2 linked regions of the Tribolium castaneum genome follow. The protein of the gene in region 1 binds, or shares a complex with, the protein of each later gene. Links are inferred from orthologs where the notes say so. Each region holds a gene or a part of one and is shown in the gene's direction. Other genes may lie near its edges.

Region 1 (7,447 bases):
GGACACAAAACAAAAATATAAATATTAGCAGAGTTGCGACAATAATGACGGAATTTTTGCTTCATTTTTCAACCTCAAATTTTCAACGTTAAGTAAATTTACCGAAGCAGCGAACTGTCGCAATTTTACTCACAATTATTTATTTCACAACAAAGACAATATTTATACAACGGTGTGGCAAACAAATTTTACTGTTTTTAAATTATTTTCATCGCTTGATCGTGGGCTAAGTTTATTAATGACAATTGGTAATTGTAGTCATGGTCAACTTACTTGTACGTTTCGCTGAATCTTTTCAATGACACGCAAAAATTATTCGAAAAACCTAGCAGGTGCAAGACCGTTTCAAAGTGCATTTTACAGTGGAACTCGGTCACAACGAACCCGGCTTTTAACGAACAAAGTAAATATTAAAAAACTATACTTTGTATAGTTTGTACTTTGTAACGTAGTTACAATAAATAATCGTATTTCTAATCCTACTATTACAAATGTAGGTGTGCCACACGGGTCTATTTTAGGACCAATTCTTTTCATATTATTAATAGTTTACCTTCATCTGTAACAATTTTATAATCAGAAATTTAAAACCTGATTTTTTAGATAGACAATTTAATAATCTTTAAGGAGCAATAGCAAAAAATAGGGTGTTCCATTAACTTTTTCAAGTTATTCAATTTTTAACAAACTTATTAATTTCTCTACTTTTTTAATTGCAATGCGCAAGACAATTAGTACAAATATAAGTTTAAACTTTTCCCTTTAAAGTGGTGAAATTCCTACTCGTCTGAGATTCTTAGTTTTTATGTAATATTTTTTTCAAAAAGCGTGTTTTCGTCAAAAAATCAAACTATTTCAAAATCGACTATAACAATCTAGCTTAAAAACATCAGTTAAAAAAATATAGGTTGTTTTAATTTCACGGCGTTTCGTAATAAAAAGATTAATTTTCTAACGATGAAAGGTCAAAGGACTTTTTCACATCGGTAGGACACCCTGTACGTGCCCTATTATCAAAGTAGGTATACCTACGTAATTATGTAATATTTTTTAATAAAATAGATGATATTTTATTTCCGGTAACTTTAAAACGTTAAAACTCATTTAACGTAAAAGTTAAGACGACGTTCCACTGTATTAAATAAATATTTCCACTGCGCTTAAAGGACATCGATTTTTAATGGATTTGGCTAAATCTGCACCCGCTGATTTGGGTTTCAATTCGGTCTCCCCTTTGCAAATAATTAAAAAATAATTAAAAAAATCTCGTTACTCTAATCCTCCCTTCAATCAAGCCCACCCCACTGTATGTTAAATTTTTAGTTTGGTGGTGCAGACGCACCAAAGCGGCGCCGTTCTTTTCTGACGGACACGAGACGAAGTCGTTTGTATGATGCGATTATTACGCTATTTGCCTCAAAAGTCACGTCTGAGCTTAATTCGGACACAAATCAACCAATCAGTCTGCGCCGTCATGGCGCTACATTTGACCTAAAGGACGTTATTATTACCGGTTATAACCGTCATAAAATATACAACATTGAACCCGATTATTAAAATATCACACATGAAGCAGGCGAGATGGGACGCTCACATTTATAATACTATAAATTTTTTATGGCTTTTTCGCCGCTGTCGATTATTTTCGACTGGATGCCTGACAGTTCGGGGCTATTTAACACCTTTGTTAATTCGCTTATCTTGCTAACTGTTGTTTACAAGTTCAAGTTCAGGCTGAATTTACGACATCTTGCATAATTTTCGCTTGTGACATTAACTTTGATAATTAGTTGGATTTTCTTGTCTTTTACCGCCTCAGGTATAACTTGATAAGAATCCAGAGTGGCCTTGGGCGGAATTCGGAAATCGAAAATACGCCTGTTTTGCAAAACTATTAATAAATATTATTGATTTAATAGTAATATCCTGTTTATAGAGAATTATTGTTTACGCCAGGAATCAGGATTCTGCTAAAGTGGCTTAATTACATTGTTAATTAAAATTCGATTGTTTTATTTGGATTGATTTAATGATAAAAAATATGATATTTATTGACGCAAACCGGAGACTGAATAGTAACGGCTGCAGGTAAAAGGTTATTGTTGCAATACCGTGACCTTGGGTAACGACTTTTACAGAAATTTAAATATTACAAAAATAAGTAACTCCGTTCCACCTTTAGACGCGTTAAATATTCGGTGATAACTAGACAGGTGTACTCACTGTTAAAAACCAAAAGTTTTCTCGTGGATCCCAGCCGTTTGATTGGTGATTTCAATTCTTGCTCATTTTCATCCATCCTTACAAAATAAGTAGCCGGTATATAAGAAACAAACTGGCGAATTCTAAAACCGTCTTCACACAAAAATAACTACTTTCACGTCCAAACGCAAGTTATGTTTTGTTGCTAACTCGGAAAAACATTTAATGAGAAGTGGTCATTTGAGACAATGTTGCCATTTCAAATCGGTGTGCACTAATTCGAATACGTTAATTCGTTACTGAGTGTTGTTGCGAACGCTACCACGAACAAAACGATTTGTACACTGTCTATTTGAACATAACATGCTACTCTCTACTCAAAATAGAATGCCGCTGTCGCTTGTAAACACACCAGCGACCAGCGCCATCTTTGGACCCGCCTCTACACTGCCCACTTGTAATGCCCAAACCGCCCACAAACATGGACGCCAGCGGTTAAGCGGTTAGTACCGTTTGCAACCCACTGTGCGCAACCAAATAAAAAATTATCGGTTCGGTTGGGTTAACAGATCGTCTCTCCTGCGTATTTATCGCTATTCTGAATATAGTTTGGCGTTTTTAAGCATTAAAAGCATGTCTGATGTCTGCCGTCTGTCAAGGTCACGGGTGTTGATACAAAATGGAAGTTTATTTGTATTAGGTGTTGGTGCACCCTTTTATAGAGCTTGTGTAGTCAAATAAATCGGCAAAATGTCTCGTAATTACACACGAGACCACCTTAAGATATCTGTAGCGAAAATTTTACAAACGCTAGGATGGAACTCGATAAATTCAACACCGTTGGAGATTTTAACCGACATTTTAGGGAATTACATGGGCCAGATTACCAGGAACACAAACAGCTACGCAAACGAATGTACGCAATTTGGAACTTAGGGGCAATGCTAATGTGTGGATTTCAGTTGGGTGCACCCAACCGAACTTGGACCACTTGGGTCTGACCTTTAGGGACATGGGGATCAGCGTCCCGGAGCTGGAGGAGTACGTGAGATATGTTAATTTTGCTGCGGCGCCAAGCGCTGTCCCCAAGTACCCCATACCCAAGGAAGACCATTTGAATTTTCTAAAACCAGGCAGCAAGGAGGTGGTCACCAGACCGGTCCACATACATGAACACCTACCCCCCATGAACCCACTTTTAGAAGGTATAACGCTTTTTTAATATTTGTACCTTAAATAATACATTTGCCATCGGAAATGTCTACAATTTAAGCTATTATACCAAAAAGATCATACCAGTCTACAAGAAAATGAGTGCTATAGACCAATAGATATTCAAATCACATTCACATTTTCTTTATTTTGAATAGCGTAGTTACAATAAATAATCGTATTTCTAGTCCTACCATTACAAATAAAGGTGTGCCACAGGGGTCTATTTTAGGGCCAATTCTTTTTTTATTATTATTTAGTATTATCAGAAATTTAAAACTTGTTTTTTTAGATAGACTATTTAATAATCTTTCAGAAGCAACAGCAAAAAATAGGGCGTTCCATTAACTTTTTCAAGTTATTCAACTTTTAACAAACTTATTAATTTCTCTACTTTTCTAATTGCAGTGCGCAAAACAATTGGTACAAATAAACATATAAACTTTTTCCTTTAAAGTGGTGAAATTCCTACTTCGCGTGTTTTTGTCAAAAAAATCAAATTATTTCAGCAAAATCGACCAGTACAAGTTTAGAACAAAATCATCAGTATTAAAAGCTACGTCCAAAAATGCAATAAAATTTAGGGTGTGCCATTTGAAAAAACATAACTTTAGTGTTTTTTTAATATTGGGACACCTGCATATACACCGGAATTTTTTTTTAAATGCAGCCATTTTAAAAAACAGTTAACGTCTCTAATAGTGAACAATTAATAATTATTATTATTATTATAGGTAATAGAAATGAATTAGAAGCGATCAATTGTAAAGTTGAGGAACTGGAAGACACCAACCCTGAAAATTCCCAAGTTTTTAAAAAACCGGCCGACATATCACCTTCAGAGTTCAAACGGCCTAGGTATTATCTATTTCCAAATTCACAATAAGGCTGTCTTAGTTTCCGCAGAGAAGAAGAAGGCAGTCGGCCGACAAGAGAAATAAGCAGTGTGATGATGACAACTTCTGGGTTTCTATCCCCAGCGCGAGAAGGCAAATTACCTGAATCCAGAACCCCAATTTCGTCCATAGACCCAATGGGTCCCGTAAACCCACCCCAGGAAACCATCGATCTGAATAAAAAACCGACGAAAGTCGTCAAAAAAGTTGAGAAAAAGAAATTCAAGCAGGAAGGAAACACGGACCCGGCTCTAGCGGGCAAAAACAGAATCAACTCAATGAAGTGTATACTGAAATCGAAGCAACAACAGAAAGCGCCCAACAAGGTCCTCAACCCCCTGGCACACGACATCTCCCAGCTGCAGAACAAAGCAAACCAAGCCGCTAAGATCAGCAAAACCTTGGCTGCAGCCCGGCTTAAAACGGAGAAACTCAACACTACGATCACCCCCATTCCCATGCGGCCCAACAGCCCCCAAGTCTTCCCACCTGAGCACGACAACGTCGACAAACTCTTCACGGAGCCCGACAAGAAAAAAGTCAACATATTTAAGAAAATATCAAACGTGAAGAACGAAAAAACCGACGTTAAAATAAAAAAAGACGATATTAAACAAGAATCGAGGGAAAGCTCCCCCGACTTGATAATCGACGAACCGGACGAAGTCCTCCCCAAATTCACCCACTTATCAAGCGACGTGACCATCGAACCCATCAATTCCTCGGCCCAGAAAAGCCCAGAAAAGATGGACACGCCCTACTTTGACGATGACTCCCAACCGGGGACTCCCTCAACCCCCAAAACCCCCGAAATGATCTCACACAGCCCGCCAATAGTCAAGGAAAAACGCAAGCGGAAAGACAGCAAGAAGATAAAGAGAGTAACGGAGCTTCGCAACAATTTGTATTCCCACTAAGGTTGTTTTTCAGATTCAGAAAAACCAAAGTCCGCATCGGCTAGACAACGATACGATGGACATGGACATGGAGCGGCCCAAAACACCGGAAGCCCAAGTGTTACCCAAAATGGAGTTTCCGCCAACTGTGCCCGTTCCCATCCCCAACCACGCGCCCCTGGCCCCCATCCCCTTCCCCTTCAACTTTGGAGGTAAATTCGCGTGTTACGATTCTATGATATTTTTTTTTTCGTTTCCGAAAATAGTGAACGGTTTTTTCTTTATCCTAGTTTTGCTTTTCAATTCTAGGTCCGGGATTGATACCAACGCCTTTGGCGAACCCACTGATCCCCCCACTGCCGTTTCCGCCCATGAATTTGTACAATTTTGGGCAAAAACCACATTTGTCTTCATTCCACCAGAAAATCGAACCGCCGCCGCCGTCAGATGTTCACGTGGTGGAAGATTCCCCATCTCCCCCTGGCAAACTAGGGGAGAAACCGCTTTCTAACGACACTTCTGATCCCGGCTCACCATCGTCAAAGTTGGAAAAGAAGAACAAGGAACACAAAAAGGAAAAGAAAGACAAGATCAAGAAACGCAACAAGAAGGATAAAATCAAAAACAAGGCCGAAAAGAAGAAGTTGAAGGAGGAGAAGAAGGAGAAAATCAAAAAAGAGAAGAAGGAGAAACGCAATAAGGAGAAGGAGCTGAAAGAGGGCGACTCTCCAGGTGTGAAAATCACGCTCAAGCTGAAATCGCCGTCGCCAAGTCCGGAGCCGTCGGAGACCCGGAAATTGTAAGTTGTGGGAATGAAAATCAGTAAAGTTTCTATTTTGTGTTAGGAACATTAAGCCGATTGTGAAGAAGGAGGAAGAGGATGTGGTTACGAGTAGCGAGGATAGGGTGAAACGGGAGACGTCGCCCGGTTTGGCCAAAATCTCGGCTTTGGTGTGCGGACCACCTAAACCTAAGCCTGTAAACCCGCCAAAGACCGTGCAGCCAGGCAAGTTTGTGTTGAGATTAGCACACTCGTTGTTTTCCTTTGTTTTGTTATTATTATTTGAGTGCCAAATTCGGACTAACGGCTTAGTTTTGGTCATTTTGTTATTTGTATGCGTGTGCGTTGTGCCACCTTTGAAGTGTTTAGTTTTTTGATTTTGAAACACTAAGTTTGGCTTGCATCAGTTAAACAGTGTACCACTCAGCATGTGATTAGTTTTGTTATTGTTTTGTTTAGTTTATTTTAACTTACTGATGAGGTCTCTCCTTACTATTTTTTTGCTCTGCAGCTTTCAATGACAGTTATCCTAGTTCCTCTTCTGATAATTTCGTAAACCAAACGAAGAAAACCATGCTAAAACCCATTCCTAAAATACGAACAAAAGAAATTAGGAGAGAGATTGTTGATGTTCCAATAGTACCACCAGCTCCTCCTTCCAGATACATTGTAAGTACTATGCGGAACGAAGAAGAGCTCAGGCGTTCGAAAATCAAATCTGACCTAGGAATCATCTTCATTCTCCTCCCCGTCTCCTCTCATTGTCATTTATTTTATCATGCATTGTCTTTGCTTATTTCATTTGCTTCATAGTGTCATGCTTGTGGTGGGGGGGTTGTGTAGATCTGCATGGGTTTGCGTTATCTCGTTTGAGTGTGCTACCGTTGTACATATTGTTAAAAGTCGTTAAGTTGTGAGTTTTGAACAGCTGAAGAGACAGCACAGGAAGAAATGCCAAACACACCAGCGGCTAGAACTGGTCCTGGACCAGGTAGGCCCAGAATCCATCCCATCAAACCAAAACCTTCTAAGCCTAAAAAACGCCGAACACCCGTCAAGAAAGTAAGTTCAGTGTGTGTCAGACAATATGCGGACCTGTTCTGGCTTATGAGTGCCCACGATTTTATTCATCATTCACCAACATGGTCAGATTTGAGCGCTTGTTTCGCTGCTTTGTGTGAATGTCTGTGCGCTTTCCATGATTTCAATTCACCACTTGCTGGTGAATCGGGGTCGGTTTTTACGTTTCACTTGAAATAATCTCTTCAAGGACGCCGACGGGAACGAGGTGTGGATTTGCCCCGGATGTGGGAGCCAGGATGACGGCAGTCCGATGATTGGCTGCGACGGATGCGACGCCTGGTACCATTGGTAATAAATAAATAACTTAGTTTCAGCCGAAATTAATGAATCGCCGGTAGGGTTTGTGTGGGGATTCAAGTGCCGCCCGACGACAGTGA
Region 2 (6,434 bases), on another chromosome or scaffold:
CAAGATGGAAAATATTCCTGAAGGTGACTGGTACGTACTTAGCTATTTTATTGCCCCAGTTGTTAATATTTTTTGTTACGGTTTCCAATTAAATAAAATATTTAACTAATTGATCAAAAAATAAGGAACTAAGTGGTTATTGCCTCAAACTATTTTCTTTCTAAGAAACGAATTATCTAGTTATTATTATTTATTGTTAGTTATTCTAACTACATATCGCAACGTGTTCTTCAGATTCAGACATTACGGTTTTTTTTATTGAAGCGGGTATCTAAAATACTTGTTTCTGTTAAAAAAAAATGATAAGGGATAACACACAAAAAACGGTGGTTACCATCAGTTTCATTAGAATTGTTAGGCAGCTCCAAAAGGAACAATTGAGTTAATAAAATTGCTTTCACCTCGAGAATTATATTTTTAACAATATCTATAATAATGTTTGGTCAGAAGTTTTCGATATAGAACAAAATCAATAAAAAAAATCTTAAAAATGTGCCGTTTTTCTTAAAACGCTATGAAAACTGCACTTAAAAATCAACACTACATATTAAAGAAAAAAATTAGAGAATTAATTTTTTTACAAAAAAATCCGCGACACTGTAACTATGTCTGACGGTTCAGGCCCTAAAAGACGTCATTAAAGAATTTTTCTTTTTTATTATTATTATTACAATTTGTGTTACTACATTAACAAAATTGAAAAACATTTGCTTTTAAATTTTTCTAGTGTCTGGTACAGTTGGAAATACGCTATCAAATTTTTTTCTAGGAGGATTTAGTTCGTTCTTACACTTTTTAAGTAATTTTAATAAACTCACATAAGTGTTGCAGCGCTATAATTTTTAATAATTTTTAAAGTTATTTATTTTTCATAAAAATCACTCCCAATTGTTAATTTTCATTTTCGTTCAGGATGTGGACTTTACCCGAGAAAATTTTCGTTTCAGTTTTATTTCATGGTATTTCTATTCGACTATAGTTTTATTTGCCTAAAAGTGTACATTTAATTGATAAAAGATCACTCAAATTCTGTTTCATTCAGTCTCTCCCATGCTTTCTTTCACTAATTTGAACCGTTTTAAAGTTGATAAAACGCATTTTGTGCGCTCAATTCTAAAATGAAAATCGTTTTATGTATCATCTTCATTTTTCGAAGAATATTCACAGTTAAATACGCTACAGCAAAGATTTGAAATCATGCTCAACCTCTGTCAAAATACTGACTAGAAATTATTCTAAAGAAAACTATTGCCGACTAACATTTTAATCCTGATCCTCCAAACACAATTTTTCTCCAGAAATATATTCCACTGGCACACACTAAACAGTAAACACTCGCGCACTACTGAACGGCGAAAATTCATAACACGCACTGATCACTGATGATAGTTCTATATTTTGAAAATCGTAACCAGCAAAACTCTAACTTTTATTTTATTTAATAAGTTTATGAGGTGTGTGTTCACGACTACAGCAAGTGACAAACTGAATGAAATCAAACGGCACATCAGTAATTGATAAGAATGCTCATAACGTCATAACTCGTCTGTAACAAAAAATAATCCATTCATGTAATTAACTGCTGCAAATAAATAACGAAGTTTTCCTAATGTATTGATTTTTGGTGCGTTCCTTTGAACTTTTTTGGATAGAGTTAATACACGTATACAGGGGGGTGAATTTTTGAGGTCTACATATATTTTGAGCTCATTATTTAAGTGTAACGTAAATGTTAACACTTTACCGAAATCTTCGCGATTATAAAAGACACGCACACATACATTCGAAATATACAAGGCCATTTTTATTGAAGAGACTATTTGCTAGTCGATTATAGAGTAGGTACTAGAAGAGGCATATTTTTTTAATAAGTAAATGAACGAAAAATTAATTTGTGTAGGTATTGCCACGAATGCATGAACAAGGCGACAGGCGAGCGCAATTGCATCGTTTGCGGCAAGAAATCGTCGACGTCTGGCACTCGGCTGATTTTATGCGAACTGTGTCCTCGCGCCTACCACACCGACTGCATTCACCCCATCATGCACAAAGTTCCTCGCGGCAAATGGTACTGTTCCAAATGCATATCGAAAAAGCCTCAGAAGAAGACGATGCGTAAAAACCACGCAAAGTCTAGCAAAGATAGCGAACTGTCCGACCATCCTCCTTCTAGGTACCTCTCAATTTTTCGTTTTTTATTTATTAACATGTCGCGTCTCCAGTCCCGCACCGTCTCATAGTTCCGTTACGACGAACGAAGAAGCAACGAATTGCAACCAAAGCGACGTCTCTAACTCGAGTCTCGGCAACGCAGGCTCTCCGTCCACGCAAACGTGCAAGAAGGACCGCATCTCGAAGAAACTACTCAAAGAACTCGCGCCGTGCAAGACGATTCTGGAGGATTTGGAGTGCCATGATGACGCGTGGCCCTTTTTGCTTCCGGTGAATACGAAGCAGTTTCCCACTTACAAAAAAATCATCAAAACGCCGATGGATTTGTCGACGATCAAGAAGAAACTGTACGATGTGAGGTTGGTGTTTTGACTTGAAAATTGATGGTGTGAGTTATTTGGGCGTTTTTCTAGTTATAAATCCAAAGAGGAGTTCGTTCTGGACGTGAGACAGATTTTCAACAACTGCGAAGTGTTCAACGAGGACGACAGTCCTGTGGGAAAGGCAGGCCACTGCATGCGCCAGTTTTTCGAAGCTCGGTGGAACGAGCTGAGTATTTCAAATAGTTGAGGACTACTTTATCCCAAAAGACCTTACCATCGAAGAATGCGGCCCCCGGAAAACAGTGTTTAAATTGCGATGAGGTGTGAATACAAACTAATTTTTTCAGAAAAACAGTACAGGTATTTCCAGTGTGTGATATTGACTTTAAAAATGTATACTTCAGCTTTTTATCGTTCGGAAATTGTAATTATTTGAATGCAATTAAAGTCTTGGATTTGCGCATCACTTAATGAATTGACTTAAACAAGAATGTGATTTTTAGTTGGTTTCTCAATTTGTATTAATTTGTATTTTTGATAATTGTGTATTTTTTTATTTAATTATTTATTTAGGATAACTATTTTGTTCATTAAATGTTCAGTGGTTTCTATTTATTTATTTTTCTAACTCAATTTCAGTTTCCCGACTTGAAGTCTGGTTCAGTTACAGTGAATAAATTAGAGTAAGAGTTTGTATAAAATGTAAAGAAATTTCTTCACATAATTGCATCGCTCAACATTAAATTAAATGTCTCTCTAGCCTATTACAAAATGTTTTTATGTAAGCTGAACATAGTTCTCAAAGGAAAGGATGTATTAATAAATAATGTGTTTGGTAGGCTAGTTCTCTGCAGCGCTAAACTGCAACTCATAGAACTAGGTTATGTATTTTAATGTAAGATATTTATATTAATTATATTTACTTATAAATGTCGCCTTTTTTCATTTCTCTCCAACCGCTACTACCCTGTTTTCCAACCACACGTTGGAAATTTTTGGAATTCCCGCGTATGGATGTTTAAATTTCGGCTCTTTGGTGATTCGGTCAGAAACACAAGCTTGTCATTTGTCAAACGTTATTATAACCTTAACTTTTCGGAACGTAAATAACAACAAACTTTGCTTTAAACTTTAAAAAATGGAACAAACCACCACCCAGCAAGTAAACGTTTACCGAAAAATGTTAGCAGCGTCAGTCTGCAGCATTCTAATGGAGTCTGGTTTCGATACGGCCGACAAAGAAAGCCTCGGTACTTTAACAGAAATGATCCAGTGCTGTAAGCCCCTCAACCCTTTTTTCGCGAAATAAGCACACTTTCTTGCAGTCCTAACCGAAGTGGGGGCACTTTCGAAAAGCTACTGCGAGTTGTCGGGCCGTTCGGAGCCCGTGGTGGCCGACGTGATTTTAGCATTTGTGGAAATGGGGCACAATTTCAACGACTTGATGGTGTACACAAAAGGCATGAAGCATTCGGTTTTACCCCCACTACAACCACAGCAGCCCCAGAAGCAGCTAAATATGTTACCAGCTGGCTCGAAGCACCCTTTACCCCCTTACATCCCTCAGCATTTACCCCAGTTTCCGGACCCCCACGCCTACGTTCGCACTCCTGTAGGTTTGTGCTGTTGGGGCGCGTCAAATATTTTATTGTTCTATTACAGACACACAAACAACCAATTATTGATTACGAATCAGTGAGAGAAAAAGCGGCAGTTCAGAAAAAAGACATAGAAAAGGCGTTAACGAAGTTTCTTGCCAAGACTAACCCCACACATAATTTGTTTGACACAGATGAGGCGAATATTTTTCCACGTAAGTGGTCCGTTTTTTATTTGGAATTTTTATTTCGTGAGTGGTGGTCAATAGTGCTCTGGAAAAAATTGGTTGCAGAGCACTCTTGACTACGTTTTTGTTTTATACCCACTATAGCAATTGAAATATTTTAGTGATAGCTTGTAAGCCTGCGTACCCCCCTTACTTGAGCGCTCTCCTGCCCCAGGATCAAATTTTTGATCCTGAAGACCTCGAATATGACCACAAAAGTCAAATGATGCAACAATCAAAAGAACAAAAAGCGAAAGAAAAAGCTGAAAATAAAGAAGAAGAAGAGACTGAAGAAACACTAAATGATTCCACAAAAAGTGAAGAAAACACAAACCCAAATGGGTACATTGATAATCCGTATTTGGCCGCAACGAAGCTGCCTAAAAAGGACGAAATGGAGGTGTCATAAGTAAGACTAAATTATAAGTTTAAATTTTTTATTTATACAACATGTAGTTATTTATAAGAATCGGAGTTATAGAAATGAATATAACAAGATTTGAATCAAACACAATTTTGTTGCTTGTTGCAAACAAGAATGGCTGGAACAAAGCCTCCTCTTCCAAACTTGTCATCCATCCGACCACACTTTCATTCCGATTTTGTACTTTGAGCCACAACATCAAGGGCTGGAAGTACTGAAGCATTGCTTCAGCAGACAGGCGATCCGACTGTCCTCTAGTTAACATTTTTATCACTTCTTTCCAATGTCTGGCCTTCCCGACTTTTAGCAAGTCCCTAAAAATATCTAATTAATTTTTATTACAAGTATTGAACAGTCATTACGATAAAACGCGTCCGGCTTCCCTCGACCGGTAAATATCGCAATTATGCAACGGCCCCACATGCCCTGAAGCAAAACACATCGAGCTGTGAATTTGGAATTCGAGCAAAAGCGCGACGTAATATTTCATGTACGGAATATCGGCGGGAATGTGGCGTTTTGCAGCGGCGTCGAAGTGGTTTTCAGTGCGAGGGATTGGGGGGATTAATCCCTGGTAGCGCAGGCGCAATTCCCACCAAACTGCGTTCATGTTTTGCACCCCGTTTTGAAAAATTTCATAACGCCACTGGAACAATTATTTTTTTAATTATTTAACTGTGAAAGGGAAAATTGGCACTTACTGCGTCCACTAAATACGCAAACGGGGCAAACGCGACTTTTTTCAAAGCCATCAGCATCAAAAAGTTGATGTTGGTTTCGTAACTGTCGGTGTTTTCGTTGAATAAGCCGACTCGGTGCAAGTGCACCGGGTTGAAGACTGATAGAGAGATTGCGTTCGAGACTCCTTCGTGGAAGCCAGGGTTGGCCCCGTCTCGGTACAGATAGGGCTGTTCGCTGTAGTGCAGGTAGTACTGAATGTGGGCCATTTCGTGGTGTGTTGAAATTAGATCGTCCATGTTTACTTCAGTACATTGTTTTATTCTGTAATCAATTTGGTTACAAAAGTCCCACGCACTTGCCGTGCATTGTACTTTGCGGTCGTTTGGTTTTTCGAACATTGAGAAACGCCAAAATTCAGGGGGCATGGGCTTGAGGCCGAGAGATGTGTAGAACTCTTCGGCCATCTGAAACATTCTGAAAACGGTTTTGTTAATTAAAACTTTCAAACACCCGCTAATACTACATTCCAATACAGGCTGTCTCAAAATTGACGCCCGTGCTTTAATATGCGATTTGGAATTTTTTCCGCATGTGCACACACCTAATTTATAACCGAGCTTTTAACATATCGAAAAATCTCGAATGTTGTAATGCAGTAGTATTGTATCCTTTTGTTTACTTGTTGGTATATTACTGCCATATATAATTGATATACAGAGTGAGATTAAAGTAACGCATAAAATTCGTAATTCTTTTATTTAAAAAAATATGAAAAATGCAAAAACAGGTAACTTAGCATTTTAATTGAGCTCAAATTTGACCTAGCTGGATCAGTCATGGCGGCCAATATGGCATATGTGTGAATCTAACATTCCACCTGTGGTCAGTGGCGTGACAATTAATTTTCTAAAGGGATGTTCAATTAGACAAATGAATCGTTTTTTTCAAAAGTGGCATAATCTACAGTTTGTTAGGTAATTGTTTATTTTGTTACCATTATCGATCTTTG

What was found.
Region 2: Taf3 (region 1) and transcription initiation factor TFIID subunit 8 share a complex: the UniProt entries of both Homo sapiens proteins name them as parts of the TFIID basal transcription factor complex. The link is inferred for Tribolium castaneum from reciprocal best matches to the Homo sapiens genes TAF3 and TAF8.

The regions. Positions count from the first base shown.
Region 1 is NC_087403.1:4,011,388-4,018,834, forward strand, and holds the start of Taf3 (transcription initiation factor TFIID subunit 3), read left to right. Parts: upstream 1-2,748; 5' UTR 2,749-2,952; coding exon 2,953-3,118; intron 3,119-3,164; coding exon 3,165-3,407; intron 3,408-4,148; coding exon 4,149-4,272; intron 4,273-4,311; coding exon 4,312-5,191; intron 5,192-5,240; coding exon 5,241-5,418; intron 5,419-5,515; coding exon 5,516-6,005; intron 6,006-6,051; coding exon 6,052-6,212; intron 6,213-6,498; coding exon 6,499-6,656; intron 6,657-6,915; coding exon of another isoform or gene 6,916-7,049; intron 7,050-7,257; coding exon 7,258-7,358; intron 7,359-7,408; coding exon 7,409-7,447. Other genes in the region: SLIT-ROBO Rho GTPase-activating protein 1, read right to left, coding at 2,224-2,299. UniProt on the Homo sapiens protein: The TFIID basal transcription factor complex plays a major role in the initiation of RNA polymerase II (Pol II)-dependent transcription.
Region 2 is NC_087396.1:13,178,052-13,184,485, forward strand, and holds transcription initiation factor TFIID subunit 8, read left to right. Parts: upstream 1-3,538; 5' UTR 3,539-3,633; coding exon 3,634-3,772; intron 3,773-3,820; coding exon 3,821-4,107; intron 4,108-4,157; coding exon 4,158-4,308; intron 4,309-4,442; coding exon 4,443-4,729; 3' UTR 4,730-4,757; downstream 4,758-6,434. Other genes in the region: tou (bromodomain adjacent to zinc finger domain protein 2B), read left to right, coding at 1-30, 1,901-2,173, 2,223-2,531, 2,586-2,742; angiotensin-converting enzyme, read right to left, coding at 4,758-5,058, 5,107-5,390, 5,446-5,899. UniProt on the Homo sapiens protein: The TFIID basal transcription factor complex plays a major role in the initiation of RNA polymerase II (Pol II)-dependent transcription.